Xenopus tropicalis: one gene and its partner. The protein of the gene in region 1 interacts with the protein of each later gene in a biochemical or structural test. Links are inferred from orthologs where the notes say so. Each region holds a gene or a part of one and is shown on either strand. Other genes may lie near its edges.

Region 1 (12,544 bases):
AATTACTGGAGTAGTAGTTTATATAAAATGATCAGCATGTTGTTGTCAATGTAGTCGGAGAAAAAAAACCTCTAAAACCTCTAAAAATTTTGATTAAACTACCCCTATGCCTATCACTGGATATTCCTTGTCATTCTGGGTGAATTCAGCCCCAAGATTTAATCAGAGTCATTTATCAGTGAGTCATTAAAGGAAACAAGGGCACAATAACATGGGAGTGTATGAAAGTCTGAGGAACATCATTATAACATCATTATATTTGATCTGCTTCTCAGGATGCCAGGCACGTGCGCAATATGACTACACCTTCATTACTGTCTCTGCACCCAGAACTCATTACATTCATTAAGAGATAACGACTCCCACTCTATTTGTGCTTTAACACAAAACTGGGGGTGGGGATTTTACAATTTTAATATATGTGTACATCACCCTTTTTTTCTGCGGGGGGGAGGTTGCCTGTTTTGCAAAATTCCATTAACCACATGTTGAATGTATATTATTTTCAACTAGCTACACCCTTCCTGTAGAATCAAAACACATATTTGACTAATGGCTGGTAATTACCCTATGTGAAAGTGGAGTAAGCCAATAGTCATCAGGCTTCTTACCAGATAGCCAACACCAGAGATTATTCTAAATGGCTTATATAGTAACATGATGCAAATATGTCCCAGCATAGCTATCCATAACCACAAAGCAGACATTTCTTCCAATATTCTAACCACACTATATCAATAAAATATAATTTCTAATTGGTTTCAGAAATGCAAAGTGCAAAGCAGGATACTACATAATCCCTTCATAATCTCATTGGAGTGCTTCCCTATTGCAGTTTCTAAGTTAAAGAGCAAGACTTCTAAATACACCTCAACATGGGCACAATTAATAAGAGTTATGTTAAAAATGTATTCTGCCTTTTCTTCCAATTTAAAGGGGCATTATATCCCATTTTACCAAATTACTTCAATAAATAGGACTAGCATTGAATATACTTTGTGTGTATTGTTTTAAATAGGAAATATCTATGGGTTTATTTTTATACTGTATATCCTGCCCTAAGAAAGTGGAAATCAAGTATTGTGCACTGTACTAACCGTTCTTTCAGTCGCAATCAAAACAAATTACTAGTCCACTGAAAAGTTCTCTGTATTAACAAACCACTCCCTTCCCTCAGCAGCAGCCCTTGTTAGATTTTGTGATCATTGTGAGGGAAAAGTAGGTTGCACTAAAGAGAAGGAGGAGAGAACTGTGAGTCTTTCAGGCAGGGACTGAGATTGTGCAGACAGAAAAAGGGACGAAAAAGGAACAAAAGCAAGATCAGGGTAATGAGGGCAAAGAATCAATAAATGACAGTAGCAGGATGGAGAGGAAGAAGTGGGGACTGGATGGAGCAGAGCGGAGCAGAGCGGAGCAGGCCCAGGATGTAGAGGGCAAATAATCGGTGACTAGATAGAGTGAAATGGAGCGGGCAAGGAGGCTGGAGCAGGACTGGAGCAAGACAGGAAGAAGAATTTGAGAAAGGCAGGAAGAAGAACTGGAGCAAGGCAGGAACAAGCTAGGGCAGGAACTGAGATAAGGACAAGACAAGAGCAGGAACGGGTACAGAGATGGGAACATGGTCAGAGCAAGAGCAGGAACAGGAGCCAAAGCAAGGGACAGAGAGCTAGGGTCATGCCGTGCTCAGTGCAAAGGCCAATGCTCAGGCACTAGATGTGAGGAGGGCTGGGCTTATATAGGAAAGAGTCGGCGACGACTGGTGACCCCACCCAACCAAAAAGGCTGCTGGGGTTATGTAACATAGGTAGAGAAACAGGTGAAAAGGAGATGAGCACTTGCTGGCTGCTCCCCTGGCACAGGGTTAGAGAAAGCCACTAACCAGGAAGTGCCAGGATCAAACCCCAGAGCCTTTATGTTTATATAGAGGGCTTCACCAGTGGACTGCCGGTTTGTTTCACTGTGCTCATACAAACCAGAAAGTAGAATGTGATTTTACTTTCAATCATATATTTTTCCCTCTTTAGTACAAAAAATAACAACCACAATACATATTTCCTAATGAAAACAACTGGCAAAAATATGTTCGGCAAAAGCTGTTTTTTTTTTTAAATTCATGTTGACAAGGGGGTATACTGCACAGCTGAAGAAATGCAACATAGTCAATGGCAGAATCAAATAACAGGCAAACATTTCTGCAGGAAGTTACAGATGGTAACTTACAGATGGTAAATGAAGTAGATGAAATAATACTATGATAATCCACTGCAATAATAAAGTGGCGGAAATACATTATATTTTCTGGCTAAGAAATAAATCCTTTTATATTGGATTATAACATATTATTTCAATCTTTTTTTGTTGTTTCTAGACTTGATACATCCTTAGATTATAACAGCGCGAGTTTCAAATTCATTTAATTAAAAGTAAAAGACATTATGAATGGTACATGTATTTTGTTGCCCTTTTTACATTTTTCCTTGTGAAAAAATGGCCAGAAATCACCCATGTGAGGATATATGTGCCCCCTTTTCCACCTGCATATCCAACATATAAAGAGGTCACAAATATACAGAGTTGACTTTTGTTCTTTGTACTTAATACCACCTAACTCTCTATAGCTGGGCAGGCCTTTGCAGAAACATCAGAAAGAAAGATTTGAGAGACCCATGTTCCATTGCTGGTTAACTCCTATGACCATAGGCTACTCACTTGGTAGGTGCTTCTGTCCTTACTACCTCATAAGGCACTTAGTACCCCATTCAGGCAAGCCTTAATGATGTGCAAGCTAGTGGCCGGGTAGTCTGCCCCTCATGAATACAGCTTGGAAGTTCTGTATTCTTGGGGGCAGTGTAGGTCCTTGCATTCCATTTTGGAGGGCAAACACCTGTGCCCATTGGCAAAATACAAAAAACATGGTGGCCTGCATCTGTTTATTGTACTTTGTACCCTGCCTTATACATGATAAATGACCCCTCCTGTGCCTCAGTTGGCTAAATGAGATTATTGGGTTTTTTAGGATGGTCCTTATTATGTCTGAATAATTACAGTACTGGTCTTGATAAAAACCTTGCTAGTATAAAAACCTTGCTAAGTATTAAGGTAGTAATAACATGTGTTGTTATCTTTGTCTATGCTAGTTATTTCATAATATTCCAAAACCCAGTAATATTCCAAATCCAGACCTGATAAAAAATGACAATATTGGTGCTTCAGCTTGGTTCTTAGAATGGTTAGAGGCATTAAAGGCTGTTTGCAGCTGCAGCATGTATGTCTCTAGCTAGCCAGAACACATCAAACTTTTATATTCACTCTGGCAGCAACTGGAACCATATATATTCTTACAGAGAAATCATGCTATAGGAAATTAGCTCAGTTGCACTTTCATTGCCCAACCCATTTTTAGCCACTTCTGTTGTGTCACCCCAATCTGTGATTCCTACCCTAGAGTGGGTGCAGTGACATGTGACCAACCTCATCTCAGTCATATAAAGAATAGTAAAAAATATACATAGTAACTTCATCCCCATTCCCATCTCCATTGTAATTACTGACACCAGCAACCCAGGGGGCACAAGTTCTCTGTAAGTGAGCACTAAGGGAAGGGGTCTTGCTCTACTTAGCACTCCTATACTTGTGCCAGTGGGAAGATAAATGACCCCTATAAGCGTATATAAGCTGTTATATTATATATTGTTCACATTGAAAATATTTTTTCTGCAGATGGCTTTTATTCCCCCATTAGTCTCATAATGTGGTCTGAGTGTGCATAGGCTGCATGAAATGAGTAGTACTACACCTGTCCCTTGATGGTGGTGGGCAACGGGAGCTGCTGCTCACACTTTTTCTATCTACCAGAAAATATGACTATGGATATTTTCATTCATCCAGGTCATGGTATATCTAGTATAGGTTTTAGTGTAACTGAGCCTTAAAGAGCAGCATAGGGAGTGATTTCACACAGGTTTAGAATAGTTATTGACCTATTGATTTATGAAATCCAAATGCCAGACTGTTGAGACAAGCTAGGTTTAACTGAAGTATTTGGCAGTATCCTTTCTTTTTTCCAATTAAATGAAAGGTGAGGTAAATTGCAAGTACATTGTGCACTGGCTGTACCATTTATATCTGCTTCATCTTTATGTATGGGTTTCTTTAATCAAGGGGAAAGTCAGTGAAAACATACACAGGAACTTAGCAAAGGCAATTATAGAAGACTGAATACATCTGGGATGGCGAGAAGATTTACAGAGGACAAAAATACAAAGCAAATGGTTGTCCATAGCAAGTGAAGGATGATTATTTTTGTAGGTGCTCTGCTCTAAGGCCTTTAAGGAACAGTCAAGTGTAAAAATGAAATTGGGTAAAATGGATAGAGTATGCAAAATAAAAAATGTTTGCAATAGAGTTAGGCAAAAATGTAAGCTATAAAGGCTGGAGTGAGCAGATGTCTAACATAATAGCCAGAACACTACTGTCTGCTTTCAGCTCTCTAACCTCTTAGTCACTGACTTTAGGGGGGCCACATGGGACATAACTGTTCAGTTAGTTTGTGAGAATGCAGGTCAGATTCCTGAGTTCCTGAGAAATGGTACACGTTTCTGATCTCAGCAAATCTCAGAACAGTACTGTATCTGGCTGACTGGTTAGTAGAGCCTAGTCAGCTGCCATTGGTTAGTAGGTCATGAGTTATGAGCGGCATGTAGACTCACACTGTCTCAGCCCCTAATAATGAATCCTTGCCAATAGTTCTTAAAATAACTCATTACAAATGGCTGTAACTAACAGCAGATGAGCCCAAGAGATGGTCAAGGGGTGTGGCACAGTGGTTAAGCAACATGTGTACAGCACTTCATACTATACAAATGGGACCTGTTATCTAAATGCACGGGACCTGGAGTTTACAGGATAAGGGATCTTTCTTTAATTTAATTATACCTTATATCTACTAAAAATGATTTAAACATCACATAAACCCAATAGAATAGTGTTGCCTCCAATAACAACAAATTATATTTTAGTTGAGATAAAGTAAAAGATACTGTTTTATTATTAAATTATTTGGTTAAAATGGAGTCTGTGGGAGATGGACTTCACGTAATTTGGAGCCCTCTGGATTATGGGTCTCCAGATAATGGACTCCACACCTCTATTGATAAATGGGTAAAGGTGATAACACAAATATATGAAGCAAGTACACCTCAGGGATAACAAATACCCTATTGGGTTTATTATTTGCCCAACTAACCAGAGCAACTTCTACTATTAATTTTTGGTCTCTTTAAACCAAAAGTGTAATTCTACTACTAAAAATAGTAACTGTTATACTATGTGCAATGGTAACTATTAAGAATACTACTACTCATCTGGAGTTTTGGATGCTTGCAATCCTTGGCCTGTGAGTACAATCCCTGCACTTAGTCCCAGAGTTAATCCCCTGAGCTGACTGCTTGCTTACAATACATATTCGCAATCCAGATTATATTAAAAGCATGTCCTGTCTATGCAAAAACTCCATTGAATTCCTAGATTTCATGGAGTCGCTGGAAGGCATAAAACGCACATATTGGTTATGTATTAAAAGACACTAAGTTGCCAGTTACAGTGCAACATCCAGCCCACTGGCCTCTAGTTGGACAGCCCATGTTGAAATAACAGAATAAACTATTATGGGTACCTTATAGACTTCTTCCTTCCCTCACTGTCATAACTGTAGTATTGCAGAATGAGCAGATCTGGGCCTGATTTGCCCCTGGGTCATTTTGGGCTGATCATTAGCCCTGGGGGCATTGGGACCTATGAAAGCCTGTCAAATGATGACCACACCAAAATGCTGATGCAGTCCACAGTTGATGGAATTTTCAAACCTGCCTGATTGATATCTGGATGATTTTCAGCCAAATATCGGTCAACCAGGCCCCATGCACAGGCTAATAAGCTGCTGACTCAGTTGACAGCTTTAAATGGCCCATGTATGGCCAGCTTTCATTCTTGTAGAACACATGCACAAGACATTGCTCATAAAGTAAACAGAGCGAATTAAAGGACACGTAAACTATGACAAAATAAACTTGCACCTGCATGGGAAATTATTGCACAAGGAAAGAGAGATTAACAAAATTTAAAAGGTAAAATATTCACCCGCCTCTGACATATACTGGTTTTTATACATCACCATATTGTTGTATCAGTTATTGCCTTTATTCTGTATTGTGCGCAAGAATCAGCCTTTTGTCTATTGTATTCTCTGTATCAGATGTACCTAACCACTGCATTCTAAATCAAATATAAATATGATATTCTCAGTGCTCCTTTATCAACCCAGACATTACATATGAATGTATATGGCACTCTTGAATGCAAGGCAGCAATAAACAGAAGGGAAAAATGACACTATAGCATAAATTCAAATGGGCAGTACATCGGGAATATAAAATACTATTTTTGTTTTATTTTTCCTGTATTGGTATCATTATTTTTAGGGCATTATTTTAGAGCATTATTTTTAATGTAATGAGATATACAGAAACACACAATCCAATTAAAAGCATACACACAGATTAATAAGCATATATACATTATATATATATATATATATATATATATACACACATGTATATGTACTCCTATTGTTCTGTCTAAATGAATGTGTTCTATATAAATAAATAATATAACTGTTACATGAACTTGAATACTAAAAAGGTTTTTAAAGGGGAATTTTTCTTTTGTCCTTTTTTTTCCCCTAGCTGAATCCTCCAGGGAGAATCCCTTCTTTTTCAGATGTAAAAAAAAGTTTTGATGTCAGGCAACAGCTAAAAAGTGGATCAGATTTCGTGAATGTTTTCTATATTTATCTGCGTGATTTAATGCTGGGCAGAGGGTTTAAATGGCATCAAACAGTTGGTGTGAAGAGTAGAAGAGCAGTTGCTGTGTAGTTGTCGAAAGGAAACACTTCTAGGCAGCCCTGTATGATGGAGCTTTTTGAAACCAGCCCTTATTTCTTTCCAGACCAAAGGTTTTATGACAATGATAACTATTTCTCTGCGAGGCTCCCTACATATGAGCAAACTGGGTTTCAAGATCGTGGCACTGTGGGGATATGTGCGGATGGGGTTTTATTGCAGGGCTCAGGAATTGAAGACAAGGTTTCTCCCCATCCCACTGTAACCCAACAAGAACATTGCCCTGGCCAATGCTTGCCATGGGCCTGCAAGGTATGCAAGAGGAAGACGGTTTCCATGGACAGAAGGAGGGCTGCTACCTTACGGGAAAAGCGCAGGTTAAAAAAAGTTAACGAGGCATTTGAAGCCCTGAAAAGAAGCACTCTGTTGAACCCTAACCAAAGGCTTCCAAAGGTTGAAATCTTAAGGAGCGCCATCCAGTATATAGAACGCTTGCAGACACTATTGGCTTCCCTTAACCAGCAGGAGAGGGACCAGAGAGATTTATTATTCATCAGTAATGGATCCCAACGGGTGGTAGGTAAAATCTTGTATAGAGTTTATCAATGTGCTTCATCCTGGAATCTTAATTGTTTTACACAGGCATGCCTACACATATACACCTAACAACCTTCTCTGAGCCACACTACACTGAACATAAATCAGCACACTATCTGTTTTAGTGTCATTATTTTCTCTGATTTATGTGCTAGTAATAACCAGGATCTACAATAAGCCAATGTGTCATAAAGCCACTAGGGAAGGGGTTTTTAAGATGAAGGGGGGGGGGTACTTAGCTATTGCTAAGTGAAATTAGGTCAGTTTTTAGATCTATTTAAATGTTTTACTTATTATTATAAGAATTTTCCTGTGTTTAGAATTTCACCATGTATAATTGTATGACAATATACATGGCTTATATTATATAAGCAGAAATAATGCTGTTGATGGAAATGATAAGAGGGCCTACATTGTGTGAAACAGCAGGTATGTCCAGTTATGATATACAATACCTGTTGGGCAAAGAGCTGTACATAACCCTGCTAGAAGCAAAACGTTTGTAAAGTGGAAAAGAAGGTAGGTTTAACCAGGAAAAGATCAAAGTCACAAAAATTGTGACATTTAAGGGCATTGAGGTCATTGTTGTGCTAAGAAATATATATCTTACCTTATCCTCTGCATTTGTGTCATTTGACTCAGTTTTATAGAACTCTCCAGTATAAAAAATAATTAAATTAAATGAAAAATCATTAAATTAAATAAAAAACATTCAAAGAATAATATATAGAGGATAAATATATGGAGCATTAACAATAATAATGAATATATTTAAGTTTAATATCATTGAGAGACAAAGCTCAGATCTTTCATCATCAACTTCTTTGACAAGTTTGAGGATACAAAACCTATAGTATAAGCATATACAATCAAGCTACACTAATCCAGACAAACTGCAATGTACCGACATATCTTCTGACCATATAGAAGGTATTATAAACTTACCGCTGTAGCTGTTGCAGAGCCATAATGTGAAAAGTCATTTCTCCATTGTGTTAATTTTGCAAAGCTACAGAGGCAAAATGATTGTTTTAAATATTATCTAGACAATACAGCAAGTACGATATTAAAGGGGTTAAATTAATACACACTGTTATTGCAGCAGACATATATAGTGATTTTTTTAGTAGGGATTAAGAGAAGGAGCAGAGAATAAAGAGAAATAATATAGTAGAATGCATGTTTTTAGTATGTTTCTTTAATGTATGTCAGTTTCTAGTATACTTGTTATGATTCCTTGTCTAAACCAGTTGTAAGGTCTTTAAATTCAGGGACAGCTGTCTAAATCTGTATATTCCTTTTCTGTGACCTTGATCACTGAATTTCAATAGGGTTTTTGTCTTCAGTAAGACTAGAGTAAAGCAAATGCATGTGCTTAGTTCCACTGTGTGTATATATATATACCACCATGAGATAGTGTAAGGATATATTGATATATTCGACAAAGTATAGAAATATAAGTAGAATTACTTTGTTTCATGGATAATTGGCAGGATTGCATTAAATAAATTCCAGTGTCTTTAGAACTTTCAATTATTGGCAAAATGTTTTCATCTAGGCAAACATGATTTTTTTTATTCTTTAAAAATACATACACACGTATTGTTTTTAAAATCTATGATATATTGATTTGTTGGTGCAATGGTACATATTAGGCAACATATTTCAACTAATCAAAACTGTGCAATTTGGCAATTCATGTGCATGTGCAAATTTCCTACTATCTCATACCTCAGCCAATGGCTGACCAATTAGTGCACACAAAATTGGCCTATGTCTGGCCAGCTTAGCTGTCTCTGTGAGGCAAAAATTATGGCCACAGTTTAAAGTCTAGAAATCATTGCTGTAGAGGAGGCAGCCTGTATAATTGCTATCTTGCACTTGCAACTAACGACCGGAAAGTGAATAAAATGCACTGTAAATAAACAGTAGAATATGGATCTCTCCTATACAGTCTGTATTGGTCGCTAACTCCTTTCAAGCCCTAAAGCCATATATTGGGAAATCTGAACTTTATCTGAGAGTAATAAAGGGCTCAGCTGACTGCATGATCCTAAAGCATTAGAATCATATTGATCCAGATATAATTACTGTCAGTGGCTGAAGAAGCTAACTTTCTCCCACTTTGCTAGATATAGATGTAAGATTGTAAGCCTGGAAAATTCACAATACTGCTAATATTGACTTGAGAGTACATTTATACAATTTATACTTTCACCACACTGAGCTGTGGCTCCCATTAGCTACGTTGCCAGAGCACTGTAAGGCACCCTCAAAGTAATGACATCTGACATATTTACATTCAGGTTGCAAAGCCTCTATAACTGCACCACTCTTCCTCATTCAGCCATACGTGCACAAAAAATGTTCATTAATCATCCATTATTTAAAAACTATGTGTGTGATCATAGCATGTGTCTGTATCTCCTATATATTGCTTTGGACTATTCAACTGACCTATTGATTTCAGGGCTTATATTAGGACACTTTAGTCAGCCATCAGAGAAATCTTTCATTGTGTTTCACACATAACTGCCATGGCTTTTCGATGTGACCCTTAAACTCAATATATCAATGGTATGGGGTCATTTTTTTTTAATGTAACCCTGACCCTTAATTTGCTGAACATAGTTACTTGCTGACTGCTTTGTAAAAAGCAAGACATTCCATTATTTGAAATGAATACTTTGTAAAATGCGTATAGATATAGTTGCAGTTTCTGGAATTTAAGGAAACCTGAAATTTCATCTTCCTTATAGTGTAGTATCAGAGGCTTTCATTAACAAACTTTCTGTGTGCAGATCTGTGCCTCTGTTCCACCATTAATGTGTAATGTTCTTGTCTTGCTCAATCTCCAGTAAATGAACCTCTCTCTCTCATAATGGGGAATTGCAAATTTCATTCATTTCCCAGTGACAAGCATGACCCCAGTAGACAGATGTGCACATGTATTATGATATGCATAATATACTCAGCAGTACAGTGCTTTTGTGCATTCTGCCTGTAATAATACAATGCTGTTCATATAATATAAATTAGCTGTAGAAATTCTGCACGCGTCAGCAATTTATTTCTTTTTACTATTTTTTTGAGGTGGACAATTAGGTATTAATATTATTTTTGTAGAGTCTGAATATTTAATTAAAAAATCAGTACATCTGAGACAAAGTTATAATATTTGTGTAGATGTCCCCTTACTTCTGTATACATACATATATTTATGTATTGTAGTGTCCTACTTGGCAACATTCTAGTAGTTCTTAATTTGCTAAAGGAAGTTCCATACATGTAACTTCTGTGCTTAACACATATCTCTGTAACTTACACCTGGCTTGTGCTTTTCAGTCCCTTTTCAGGTAACTGTTCATTATTATTTAGTCACCTCTGGAAAGTATGACAGCATACTATATTAAAACGAAAAAAGCAAACAAAAAATGAAAACTTTGGTGTCAGGGCAAAGGGCAAACAACGGCAAATTACAGGACATCTATCTCCCATAGACTCCATTTTAATCAAACATTTAATTTAAATGTTTCCCTTTTTCTCTGTAATAATAAAACAGAACATTGTACTTTATACCTACTATGATATTATTCATTCTTACTGGAGGCAAAACAATCCTGTTAGGTTTATTTAATGTTTAAATGATTTTTAGTAGACTTAAGGTATGGGATCCAGAAAGACCCCTTATCTGAAAAATCCCAGCTCCCAAGCATTCTGGATAATAGGTCCCCTACCTGTAAAATAATCAGTACTATATGTAATATAATGACTTTTTTATTGCAGGTATCAAGTGAATGTGGGTCAAGCTCTTCCTCTTGTAGTCCTGAATGGAACGATTCTGACTTTAGTGGCAGCCAAAGTGGTAAGTAATTTGACCATGGAGTTCAGTTTTACAGAGAAATTCATCTGTCCAACCACCACTGAAAAAAATAAAAAAATAAGAACATGATTTGATTTTGAATACATATTGGATGAAGATGCTTAAAGCTTATGTTTAAATGTTATTCCTGGATCAGAAATGGCAACATTCATTGGCTTCAATTTAAAAAAGCATATATACAGAACATGGCTTATAAATCATCTAAACTAGATATTCCTCTCTGGGGTGTTTCCTGGGTGAACCTTGATGTTGAATCAACATTTGCTAGACCTTTGTGATCAATTAACTATGGTTGTTTTTATATATTTATCTCAGAGTAGTTTATAGAGAGCTGCCAGTAAGTCCAGCTGCTGTGCTGGCCCTTTTCATTCACTGCATGGACAAAAACAACATTTTCTTTAAGGAAAATGTATTCACACCTGCTTTTGAGGAAACTTTACACTGGCAAAGTCAAAAGAACACTTTTTATGTCAATGCTTAATAAAAACAGGCAATGATGTTTACATGAAGAAGGTGGATTCTGCTTGTGGTGGCTGCACTTATTTCCCTGTTTTAACCCTGTGTTGCTTTTGAAATAAAGAAGAAAGGAAACAGTGTTCAGCATTGATCAGTCTAATGCAGGTATAATAAGGAAAAGGCTGTGAAAATGTATCCAACATTAGTAAAATAGATGGGGGTGTAATTTGTATTCTGGTATACACACAAAAGAGAAGAAAGTCAGCCCTTTCCCAAAGTAACATTAGAACAACCTCATCATTTCTTGTATACTTACAAGATTATATTTTCATTAAAATAAAAAGTAGAGAACATTGTTTTCCTAGAAAGGTCAAATGGTCTGGATGTTAATGGATTAAACTGGGACAGAAATCCCTTTAGGGCTTCAGACTGTACATTAAAAATTATGCGCACCATTAAAAAAAATCACATGTTCACAATAAATAGTTTCAAAGTAAATAAATAACTGGTTGCAGTGGTAATATTTAATTGAACCAACCAGAGCTGGTGGTTCTATAAAGAGTAGGTCAAGTGGCAGAATAAGGTGACCTACGCTCTTTGGCATCATGGAATGAAGAATTAGATATTATAAATGTTATTTAATCAGTTATTTTTCTGGATATAGGAATCTGGTTGACTGGAATGCATTTTGTAATGGTTTATAGAAAAA
Region 2 (12,685 bases), on another chromosome or scaffold:
TTAATGGTTACAACCTCCATCCCCCAGTAACGTGCAGTGTTTGTTTTCTCTCGTTACTAGTCGGCCGTTCCTGTGACCCCCAAAGGATATCACTCCCTGCAGGAAACGTTCTTCCGTACCCCGGGGGGCATGGGCTGCTCCCCCCCAGAATCTGCACGGAAGCTGGATGTCGGCACAGACGATTAAACTACAGCCAAGCTGAAAATCAAGGATATGAGAGACATAGACAGGCTTTGGATCTGCTGCAGAACTACAACTCCCAGCATCCCCGGCGTGCCAAAGGAGACCTATCCACTTCTGTAGAAGTTTTTTTTTTTAACTTATTTTTTTTTTCTAGAGTATTTTTGGCATCAAAAAATTTTTTAAATCAGGTACTGAGTGATTGTTAGCACTGTGCCTAATCCCTTCCCAGCATTAATATTCCTCTGATCCACTTGAATGGCCACGGTCTGTTTCTCATGCTCTAGGGGAGGGGCCTAGATCCTCTAGAGGAGGAGCCTAGATGCTCTAGAGGAGGAGGAGCATAATGGAGACACTGCCCAGATATATAAATATACTGTGTATATACACGGCGCATCAAACGCAGCCCCCCCAATGGTGTTAACCCCCTGACAGCCATGTGGGGCCCTGCAATTTGATGATATGTGAAATACAGATATTTGCACAATGACCATACTGTGATGTATATACAGTGTTATGTTTTTTGTTTTTTATAAATTACCCCCCTCCCCCCCCCCAAAGGGGTTTGTGGTTTTAATTGTATGACTGTGCAGGAGAAGCTGTTATTGTATTGGGTGGAACAGCAATGCACTCAATCAGGATTTTTTTTGGGGGGGAGAAATACAATTATTTATATATAAAATATTCTCAATGAAATTAAAATTTTGTTGTTGAAGAATTGTTTGTTTTTATGGCACCTCCTACCCATATGTATAAATACAAATATACAGAGAAGGAATGTTCTGGGCACACAATAAGCTGTACCCCCATACTGTACTGTCTAAGGGAAACACTATGGCACCCCCTACCCATATGTATAAATACAAATATACAGAGAAGGAATGTTCTGGGCACACAATAAGCTGTACCCCCATACTGTACTGTCTAAGGGAAACACTATGGCACCTCCTACCCATATGTATAAATACAAATATACAGAGAAGGAATGTTCTGGGCACACAATAAGCTGTACCCCCATACTGTACTGTCTAAGGGAAACACTATGGCACCTCCTACCCATATGTATAAATACAAATATACAGAGAAGGAATGTTCTGGGCACACAATAAGCTGTACCCCCGTACTGTACTGTCTAAGGGAAACACTATGGCACCCCCTACCCATGTGTATAAATACAAATATACAGAGAGGGAATGTTCTGGGCACACAATAAGCTGTACCCCCATACTGTACTGTCTAAGGGAAACACTATGGCACCCCCTACCCATGTGTATAAATACAAATATACAGAGAGGGAATGTTCTGGGCACACAATAAGCTGTACCCCCATACTGTACTGTCTAAGGGAAACACTATGGCACCCCCTACCCATATGTATAAATACAAATATACAGAGAAGGAATGTTCTGGGCACACAATAAGCTGTACCCCCATACTGTACTGTCTAAGGGAAACACTATGGCACCCCCTACCCATATGTATAAATACAAATATACAGAGAAGGAATGTTCTGGGCACACAATAAGCTGTACCCCCATACTGTACTGTCTAAGGGAAACACTATGGCACCCCCTACCCATATGTATAAATACAAATATACAGAGAAGGAATGTTCTGGGCACACAATAAGCTGTACCCCCATACTGTACTGTCTAAGGGAAACACTATGGCACCTCCTACCCATATGTATATAGAAAGTTGGAATGTTCTGGGCAATATTAATTTACCAGAATAACCGTATATCTCCTGTTTAACCCCATGGCTTTCCCATGTGGGTTATCGGGTGACACAGTACAGGCTGCAGCAGGAATGTGGTGACATAATGGAGAATTTCCATGAGGCAAGTGATAAGATGACACCTTGTCTCCGTTACCTTGTAACCTCTCCGGGTTCTGCTACTTGACTTCTGTCACACAGGGGAGACAGGGCCCCTCTCCCACCCACCCTTTATAGAATAATCTGCCATTATCAGTAAGAACCTCCCCTGAGGCTTGTGAAAGGTACCAGGATGCTTTCAGCAGCTATCTGGTTGCTAGGGTTCAAATTACCTTAGCAACTGGGGAGTGGTTTGAATGAGAGACTGGCAAATGAATAGGAGAGGAACTGAATATAAAAAGTAACAAATTGTAGCCTCACAGAGCTATATTATTTTGGCTGCTGGGGTCAGTGACCCCTCTTTGAAGGCTGGAAAGAATAAAAAAACTATATATATATAAAAATAAAATGAAGACCAATTGAAAAGTTGCTCCAGCCTAGGCTCCAATTCCCACAATGCCTTGCATGCTCTGTGCTGTAAAAGACCTGGGAGGTGTGCAAGGCATTGTGGGAAATGTAGTCCAGGTTGGAGTGTTTGTTGTGATGTATTGGGTCACTGCGGCTCTCATAACAGCAGTTCATACCTACAAGGTTGCCAAAGTACCAACTCCATAGCAACGCTTACCCTAAAGTAAATGTGCACCAATTACGCTTTGCTTTTCACTCTTCCCCTAACTGCTAGTTGCTAGGGTCAGTGACACCCAACAACCAAATAATGACAGGCCTGATTTTTACTGCCATTCTGTTTGGACCTTCTCCTATTCACCTCTGAGTCTTCTATTCAAACCACTGCCTCATTGCTAGGGTAATTGGGTCCCTAGCAACCAGAGACATCACATTCTGCATGAGAGCCCCACAGACTGACAGTAATGAATATGGGGATCTCCTAGGGGAAGGTAGGTTGGGTCATTGTACCTTATGTGAGGGTTAGAAAACGGGGCAGTTGTTAATAAAAATACTAAATATTTGCCCTGTGTGCTCAATTGGTTGCCCCGAGGCTCCCATTCGCCTACAAATGCCTTCTCCCCGCCCACTATCCTACCTGGGAGCCAGTAGGAGCAGAGATACTATGGGGCCAGTGATGCTTTGTATCTTTCCCTGCCCCAGTGTTCCCATGAGTCAGAGGCCGGGGGGGGGGGCATCGGGCAATTGCCCAGGGGGGGGGCTATTTCAGGGACAGAGAGATGGGGTTTGTGGCTATGAATAGTGAGTGGGAATCCTGGGTAATAAGTGGAGTCAGCTGGCAGATTTAGCTCCGTGCCCTCCTCCTCCTGCTCCCAGCAGCCCCTTTATCTGCCATTCCTTTGCCATGTACACATGCACTAAATCCGGCCCAAATCTGCCCCACATGCTACATGGCTGGGTGCAATTACAGGAGTTGCACCGGGACCCTCCTACTGGGCTCCTGTACCTTGGCCCTTAGCCAATCGCTCAATTGGTTTATTCTTTTGTCTCTGTCATTCATTTGGATTCAGCAGCATTCTCATTGGTCAGTTCATTTGCATCTGTAATTCATTTGGATTCAGCAGCGTTCTCATTGGTCAGTTCATTTGCATCTGTAATTCATTTGGATTCAGCAGCGTTCTCATTGGTCAGTTCATTTGCATCTGTAATTCATTTGGATTCAGCAGCGTTCTCATTGGTCAGTTCATTTGCATCTGTAATTCATTTGGATTCAGCAGCGTTCTTATTGGTCAGTTCATTTGCATCTGTAATTCATTTGGATTCAGCAGCGTTCTTATTGGTCAGTTCATTTGCCTAGTGGGGCAGTTTTATGGAGGGTTCACACCCCCTTTAGCAAAGGCTATACATTTCCGTTACCCCCTTCATTCCCTATGTAGGACTCCAATCAGAGTATCCCTGGCACACAAACCACTCCCACCCACGGCTGCTAGCTCCTCCCACACAGCCTGAATGGCATCCCTGAGCCCAAACGTTACAGTCACAAACCTCATACAATAAATGGTAGTTATTAAAGGGGAAGTTCACCTTTAAATTAACTGTAAGTATGACACAGACACTGATATAACTTAAAGGTGAACCACCCCTTTAAAGGGGCAGCACTTGTGACTATTGCACCTGTTAATATTAATACTTTGTCCCTTTGTGAACTGCCCCCGGGAATTCAGCCCAATGAAAGCGATTGCAGTTCTGCTGATGTGGAAACAAATTCCGTCAGTTTTTCCTTGGCTTTCCCACAAAACTGAGCTCTGGAATAGCAATAAAATCAAGTGTGGAAAATGCCAATACGACTGCTTACTTCCCCTTTGTTCTCTAATGAGGTAGGAGGTGCCATAGTGTTTCCCTTAGACAGTACAGTATGGGGGTACAGCTTATTGTGTGCCCAGAACATTCCTTCTCTGTATATTTGTATTTATACATATGGGTAGGGGGTGCCATAGTGTTTCCCTTAGACAGTACAGTATGGGGGTACAGCTTATTGTGTGCCCAGAACATTCCTTCTCTGTATATTTGTATTTATACATATGGGTAGGGGGTGCCATAGTGTTTCCCTTAGACAGTACAGTATGGGGGTACAGCTTATTGTGTGCCCAGAACATTCCTTCTCTGTATATTTGTATTTATACATATGGGTAGGGGGTGCCATAGTGTTTCCCTTAGACAGTACAGTATGGGGGTACAGCTTATTGTGTGCCCAGAACATTCCTTCTCTGTATATTTGTATTTATACATATGGGTAGGGGGTGCCATAGTGTTTCCCTTAGACAGTACAGTATGGGGGTACAGCTTATTGTGTGCCCAGAACATTCCTTCTCTGTATATTTGTATTTATACATATGGGTAGGGGGTGCCATAGTGTTTCCCTTAGACAGTACAGTATGGGGGTACAGCTTATTGTGTGCCCAGAACATTCCTTCTCTGTATATTTGTATTTATACATATGGGTAGGGGGTGCCATAGTGTTTCCCTTAGACAGTACAGTATGGGGGTACAGCTTATTGTGTGCCCAGAACATTCCTACTCTGTATATTTGTATTTATACATATGGGTAGGAGGTGCCATAGTGTTTCCCTTAGACAGTACAGTATGGGGGTACAGCTTATTGTGTGCCCAGAACATTCCTTCTCTGTATATTTGTATTTATACATATGGGTAGGGGGTGCCATAGTGTTTCCCTTAGACAGTACAGTATGAGGGTACAGCTTATTGTGTGCCCAGAACATTCCTTCTCTGTATATTTGTATTTATACATATGGGTAGGGGGTGCCATAGTGTTTCCCTTAGACAGTACAGTATGGGGGTACAGCTTATTGTGTGCCCAGAACATTCCTTCTCTGTATATTTGTATTTATACATATGGGTAGGGGGTGCCATAGTGTTTCCCTTAGACAGTACAGTATGGGGGTACAGCTTATTGTGTGCCCAGAACATTCCTTCTCTGTATATTTGTATTTATACATATGGGTAGGGGGTGCCATAGTGTTTCCCTTAGACAGTACAGTATGGGGGTACAGCTTATTGTGTGCCCAGAACATTCCTTCTCTGTATATTTGTATTTATACATATGGGTAGGGGGTGCCACAATACAAGCTAGTAGCTGAGGGTGAATAAATACTTCCCCATGAAGTGTATGTATTTGCTCGGGGGAGGATGCCCGGTTGCTCATTCTGCACTAGGAAGTCACAGAGGATGGAGGGAGAGACACCAGATTTGGGTTTGGGTGCTATAGTAGCGGAGTTTCCCAATTCTGCTGAAAGGGTTAAACAATGAAAGTGAGAGTGAAACTGGACCCAGCGCCGGGGAAGTTCTGACCCTCCCTGCAATTCCTTTGTTATCCTGCCGCTCTGTGTGAGTCTGAGGGAAGAAATCCAGGGGTTGCTCACGTTCTATTTCGGGCCGGGTGAGTTCACAGATGTCCCACCCATTACTCAGTCCCCCCCCCCCCGGGGGGAAGAGCTTTCTGGGGAATTTAAAGGGTTCGGGGAGCCCCCGGCTCAGCACTCTGCAGACTCAGCCCTGGGGGACACACCACCTGCCTGTGAGTAGCAACGGAGGGGGGTTTTATTTGGAAAAAAATGGGGGGACATTTGGGCCAATGAACTGGGGGGCAATTAGAGTCAAGGTGGGAATTCTCTGGATAGAGGGTGGAACTTGATGGGTGCTGGGTGGCGACTGTAACTAAGGTGGCACCCATTGTACAAACAGGGCCAATCAGAAATCATATTATTACTGTACTGCTGGGCATCCCTTTGGCACTGTGGCCACTTGGGCACCAAGCCATTACCCAAAGGCTACTTGTATCCCAAACTGATCCCAGTTAAAGGGGAAATAAACCCAAACATAACAGGCAACTCGTCAGAACAAGCAGGGAGTGCTGAAGGTCACAAACATGGCGGCCCATATTGGCTATATCCAATCATCATAAGGGCCAATGCAGGCTCGTTAGGGGATGATAAAGGAGCCATAATGAGAGGGCGGCAGTTTCTGCCCCAGTCACATGGGTACCAGGAATGCCAGTCAGTGCCAAGCAATGGGTAGAAATAGCAGTGAATATATGAGATTCTGATGGCAGTGTTTCTTTAAAGGGGATGTGAAAGAGTTAATGTTTAGTATGATGTAGAGAGTCATATTCTGAGACAATTTGCAATTGGTCTTCATTTTTTATTATTTGTAGTTTTTTAATTGTTTCAATAATTGTTGAGCAGCTCTCCAGTTTGTATAACAGCTATCTGGTTGCTAAGATCCAAATTACCTTAGCAACCAGGGAGTGGTTTGAATGAGAGACTGATATATCAATAGGAGAGGGGCTGAATAAAAGAAAAAATAGGGAAAAGTACTAACAAAAAAATTGTTGCCTCGCAGAGCAATTGTTTTTGGTTGCCGGGGTCAGTGACCCCCTGTTTGAAAGCTGCAGAGTTTAAAGAAAAAGGCAAATAATTCAAAAACTGTAAGAAATAAATAATAAAGACCAATTGAAAAGTTGCTAAGAATTGGCCGTTCTATAACTGCCCCGCAGCTCCTCTCTCCGAGCCACTGACAGGCTGAAGGATGCCCATCTTGGGTGGGGGCGCCAAGTGTGGCGCTTGTGACAAGACAGTGTACCACGCCGAGGAGATCCAGTGCAATGGGAGGAGCTTCCACAAGCCGTGCTTCATCTGCAGTGAGTAGAGCGGGGCCCTCCTGCCCATCATACGTTGGCATGGTGATGGTTTCGGTGTAGGATATTTGCCCTTGCCCCTATGCTATGGGGGGAACACAGAGATCATCTTATTTCATGTTACCCTTTAGTGTGGGCGGGGTTGGTCCCTCAGTGACTGTTCATGCTGTTATGGGCGTGGCTACTCATGGTGTTGGCACTGGGGGGCCTGACCAATGGGTTAAGCTCAGCTACAGAGCTACCAACCCCATGCCAGGGAGATAGTGATCCAGCCCTGGTGTTTGTACAACCTCTTCACTTTAAAGGGTAACTTGGAATAAAGTCTCACAAGTGGATCATTATCCCCCAAACTACCCGCTTTATAAATAGATCCGGTGGCTCATTGGCGCGACTGGGGCACAGTTGTTGTGCCACCCACACTTCTGCCCCCCCCCCATGCCAGAACTTAATGCGCAGCTGATAAGTGACGAGTTTCAGAGATATTCTGACAATTCCACTTTAAAGGCTTTAGTGGCATCTGCCCTGGCACGGCGCCCGCGGTGATTCTAAGAATAGAAGCGTTTGATCTGCTCTTGGTGCCAGTGCTTGTGCCCATTATATGCCCCGATTAGTGCGGCTATCTTGGCTCTGATAACATCAGTCCAGCTGACCGCTCTCACTGCTTCTAGAACATTCCGCATAAGGAACAATATCCATAGATTAACCTGCCCTTCCCTCCATCCTACTGATACCTACAGAACCTCCGTGTACTTACCCCCAGCACTCAGTGCCCTTATGGGAAGCCCCGGGAGGCCCCAGACTGGTATTAACGCTCTCCATGTTCCCCCGGCTAGTGGTCTGCAGGAAAGCCCTGGACAGCACCACGGTGGCCGCTCACGAGTCTGAAATCTACTGCAAGTCCTGCTATGGGAGGAAATATGGCCCCAAGGGATACGGGTACGGCCAGGGCGCCGGCTGCCTCAGCACCGATACGGGGGAGCGATTTGGCATCGAAGTGGCAGAGTAAGTCCTTCTAATGTGGGATTCTGGGTAATATCCCACCTTACCCCATAATCCCACAGCACCCAGCGCTTCCCTCACAGCCAGGGATTCTGGGTAATATCCCACCTTATCTCATAATCACCCAGCACCCAGCGCTTCCCTCACAGCCAGGGATTCTGGGTAATATCCCACCTTACCCCATAATCACACAGCCCCCAGCGCTTCCCTCACAGCCAGGGATTCTGGGTAATATCCCACCTTCCCCCATAATCACACAGCACCCAGCGCTTCCCTCACAGCCAGGGATTCTGGGTAATATCCCACCTTACCCCATAATCACACAGCACCCAGCGCTTCCCTCACAGCCAGGGATTCTGGGTAATATCCCACCTTACCCCATAATCACACAGCACCCAGCGCTTCCCTCACAGCCAGGGATTCTGGGTAATATCCCACCTTACCCCATAATCACACAGCACCCAGCGCTTCCCTCACAGCCAGGGATTCTGGGTAATATCCCACCTTACCCCATAATCACACAGCCCCCAGCGCTTCCCTCACAGCCAGGGATTCTGGGTAATATCCCACCTTACCCCATAATCACACAGCACCCAGCGCTTCCCTCACAGCCAGGGATTCTGGGTAATATCCCACCTTACCCCATAATCACACAGCACCCAGCGCTTCCCTCACAGCCAGGGATTCTGGGTAATATCCCACCTTACCCCATAATCACACAGCACCCAGCGCTTCCCTCACAGCCAGGTATTCTGGGTAATATCCCACCTTACCCCATAATCACACAGCACCCAGCGCTTCCCTCACAGCCAGGGATTCTGGGTAATATCCCACCTTACCCCATAATCACACAGCACCCAGCTCTTCCCTCACAGCCAGGGATTCTGGGTAATATCCCACCTTCCTCCATAATCACACAGCACCCAGCGCTTCCCTCACAGCCAGGGATTCTGGGTAATATCCCACCTTACCCCATAATCACACAGCACCCAGCGCTTCCCTCACAGCCAGGGATTCTGGGTAATATCCCACCTTACCCCATAATCACCCAGCACCCAGCGCTTCCCTCACAGCCAGGGATTCTGGGTAATATCCTACCTTACCCCATAATCACACAGCACCCAGCACTTCCCTCACAGCCAGGGATTCTGGGTAATATCCTACCTTACCCCATAATCACACAGCACCCAGCACTTCCCTCACAGCCAGGGATTCTGGGTAATATCCCACCTTACCCCATAATCACACAGCACCCAGCGCTTCCCTCACAGCCAGGGATTCTGGGTAATATCCCACCTTACCCCATAATCACACAGCCCCCAGCGCTTCCCTCACAGCCAGGGATTCTGGGTAATATCCCACCTTCCCCCATAATCACACAGCACCCAGCGCTTCCCTCACAGCCAGGGATTCTGGGTAATATCCCACCTTACCCCATAATCACCCAGCACCCAGCGCTTCCCTCACAGCCAGGGATTCTGGGTAATATCCCACCTTACCCCATAATCACACAGCACCCAGCTCTTCCGTTACAGCCAGGGATTCTGGGTAATATCCCACCTTACCCCATAATCACACAGCACCCAGCGCTTCCCTCACAGCCAGGGATTCTGGGTAATATCCCACCTTACCCCATAATCACACAGCACCCAGCGCTTCCCCCACAGCCAGGGATTCTGGGTAATATCCCACCTTACCCCATAATCACACAGCACCCAGCGCTTCCCTCACAGCCAGGGATTCTTGGTAATATCCCACCTTACCCCATAATCACCACAGCACCCAGCGCTTCCCCCACAGCCAGGGATTCTGGGTAATATCCCACCTTACCCCATAATCACCCAGCCCCCAGCGCTTCCCTCACAGCCAGGGATTCTGGGTAATATCCTACCTTACCCCATAATCACACAGCACCCAGCGCTTCCCTCACAGCCAGGGATTCTAGGTAATATCCCACCTTACCCCATAATCACACAGCCCCCCAGCTTCCCCCACAGCCAGGGATTCTGGGTAATATCCCACCTTACCCCATAATCACCCAGCACCCAGCGCTTCCCTCACAGCCAGGGATTCTGGGTAATATCCCACCTTACCCCATAATCACACAGCACCCAGCGCTTCCCTCACAGCCAGGGATTCTGGGTAATATCCCACCTTACCCCATAATCACACAGCCCCCAGCGCTTCCCTCACAGCCAGGGATTGTGGGTAATATCCCACCTTACCCCATAATCACACAGCACCCAGCGCTTCCCTCACAGCCAGGGATTCTGGGTAATATCCCACCTTACCCCATAATCACACAGCCCCCAGCGCTTCCCTCACAGCCAGGGATTGTGGGTAATATCCCACCTTACCCCATAATCACACAGCACCCAGCGCTTCCCTCACAGCCAGGGATTCTGGGTAATATCCCACCTTACCCCATAATCACACAGCACCCAGCTCTTCCCACACAGCCAGGGATTCTGGGTAATATCCCACCTTACCCCATAATCACACAGCCCCCAGCTCTTCCCTCACAGCCAGGGATTCTGGGTAATATCCCACCTTACCCCATAATCACACAGCCCCCCAGCGCTTCCCTCACAGCCAGGGATTCTGGGTAATATCCCACCTTACCCCATAATCACACAGCCCCCAGCGCTTCCCTCACAGCCAGGGATTCTGGGTAATATCCCACCTTACCCCATAATCACACAGCACCCAGCGCTTCCCTCACAGCCAGGGATTCTGGGTAATATCCCACCTTACCCCATAATCACACAGCACCCAGCGCCTCCCTCACAGCCAGGGATTCTGGGTAATATCCCACCTTACCCCATAATCACACAGCACCCCAGCGCTTCCCTCACAGCCAGGGATTCTGGGTAATATCCCACCTTACCCCATAATCACACAGCACCCAGCGCTTCCCTCACAGCCAGGGATTCTGGGTAATATCCCACCTTACCCCATAATCACCCAGCACCCAGCTCTTCCCTCACAGCCAGGGATTCTGGGTAATATCCCACCTTAACCCATAATCACACAGCACCCAGCGCTTCCCCCACAGCCAGGGATTCTGGGTAATATCCCACCTTACCCCATAATCACCCAGCACCCAGCGCTTCCCTCACAGCCAGGCATTCTGTGTAATATCCCACCTTACCCATAATCACACAGCCCCCAGCGCTTCCCTCACAGCCAGGCATTCTGGTAATATCCCACCTTACCCCATAATCACACAGCACCCAGCGCTTCCCTCACAGCCAGGGATTGTGGGTAATATCCCACCTTACCCCATAATCACACAGCACCCAGCGTTTCCCTCACAGCCAGGCATTCTGGGTAATATCCCACCTTACCCCCTTAATCACACAGCCCCCAGCGCTTCCCTCACAGCCAGGGATTCTGGGTAATATCCCACCTTACCCCATAATCACACAGCACCCAGCTCTTCCCTCACAGCCAGGGATTCTGGGTAATATCCCACCTTACCCCATAATCACACAGCCCCCAGCGCTTCCCTCACAGCCAGGGATTCTGGGTAATATCCCACCTTACCCCATAATCACACAGCCCCCAGCGCTTCCCTCACAGCCAGGGATTCTGGGTAATATCCCACCTTACCCCATAATCACACAGCACCCAGCGCTTCCCTCACAGCCAGGGATTCTGGGTAATATCCCACCTTACCCCATAATCACACAGCACCCAGCTCTTCCCCCACAGCCAGGGATTCTGGGTAATATCCCACCTTACCCCATAATCACACAGCACCCAGCGCTTCCCTCACAGCCAGGGATTCTGGGTAATATCCCACCTTACCCCATAATCACACAGCACCCAGCGCTTCCCTCACAGCCAGGCATTCTGGGTAATATCCCACCTTACCCCATAATCACACAGCACCCAGCGCTTCCCTCACAGCCAGGGATTCTGGGTAATATCCCACCTTACCCCATAATCACACAGCCCCCAGCGCTTCCCTCACAGCCAGGCATTCTGGGTAATATCCCACCTTACCCCATAATCACACAGCACCCAGCGTTTCCCTCACAGCCAGGCATTCTGGGTAATATCCCACCTTACCCCCTTAATCACACAGCCCCCAGCGCTTCCCTCACAGCCAGGGATTCTGGGTAATATCCCACCTTACCCCATAATCACACAGCCCCCAGCGCTTCCCTCACAGCCAGGGATTCTGGGTAATATCCCACCTTACCCCATAATCACACAGCACCCAGCGCTTCCCTCACAGCCAGGGATTCTGGGTAATATCCCACCTTACCCCATAATCACACAGCCCCCAGCGCTTCCCTCACAGCCAGGGATTCTGGGTAATATCCCACCTTACCCCATAATCACACAGCCCCCAGCGCTTCCCTCACAGCCAGGGATTCTGGGTAATATCCCACCTTACCCCATAATCACACAGCTACATAACTACCTACAGATATTATCACTGTGTGAGCAAACTGTGCATTTACTCTCCGTACAATTGCGCAGATCCCACCCTGCCCGCGGATCCCCCACAACTACACATACTTCAAAATTCACGCAGAAGTTTGGTGCCACAGAGAAATGCCC

What was found.
Region 2: the proteins of myog (region 1) and csrp3 form a complex in vitro, tested with the Homo sapiens proteins (2 studies listed by BioGRID and IntAct, with this or other methods). The link is inferred for Xenopus tropicalis from reciprocal best matches to the Homo sapiens genes MYOG and CSRP3.

The regions. Positions count from the first base shown.
Region 1 is NC_030678.2:54,929,478-54,942,021, forward strand, and holds the start of myog (myogenin), read left to right. Parts: upstream 1-6,932; 5' UTR 6,933-6,968; coding exon 6,969-7,475; intron 7,476-11,257; exon of another isoform or gene 11,258-11,282; coding exon 11,283-11,361; exon of another isoform or gene 11,362-11,419; intron 11,420-12,544. UniProt on the Homo sapiens protein: Acts as a transcriptional activator that promotes transcription of muscle-specific target genes and plays a role in muscle differentiation, cell cycle exit and muscle atrophy.
Region 2 is NC_030680.2:4,236,698-4,249,382, reverse strand, and holds the start of csrp3 (cysteine and glycine-rich protein 3), read left to right. Parts: upstream 1-5,966; 5' UTR 5,967-5,995; intron 5,996-6,973; 5' UTR 6,974-7,005; coding exon 7,006-7,117; intron 7,118-7,947; coding exon 7,948-8,116; intron 8,117-12,604; coding exon 12,605-12,685. Other genes in the region: transcription factor E2F8, read left to right, coding at 61-186. UniProt on the Homo sapiens protein: Positive regulator of myogenesis. Acts as a cofactor for myogenic bHLH transcription factors such as MYOD1, and probably MYOG and MYF6.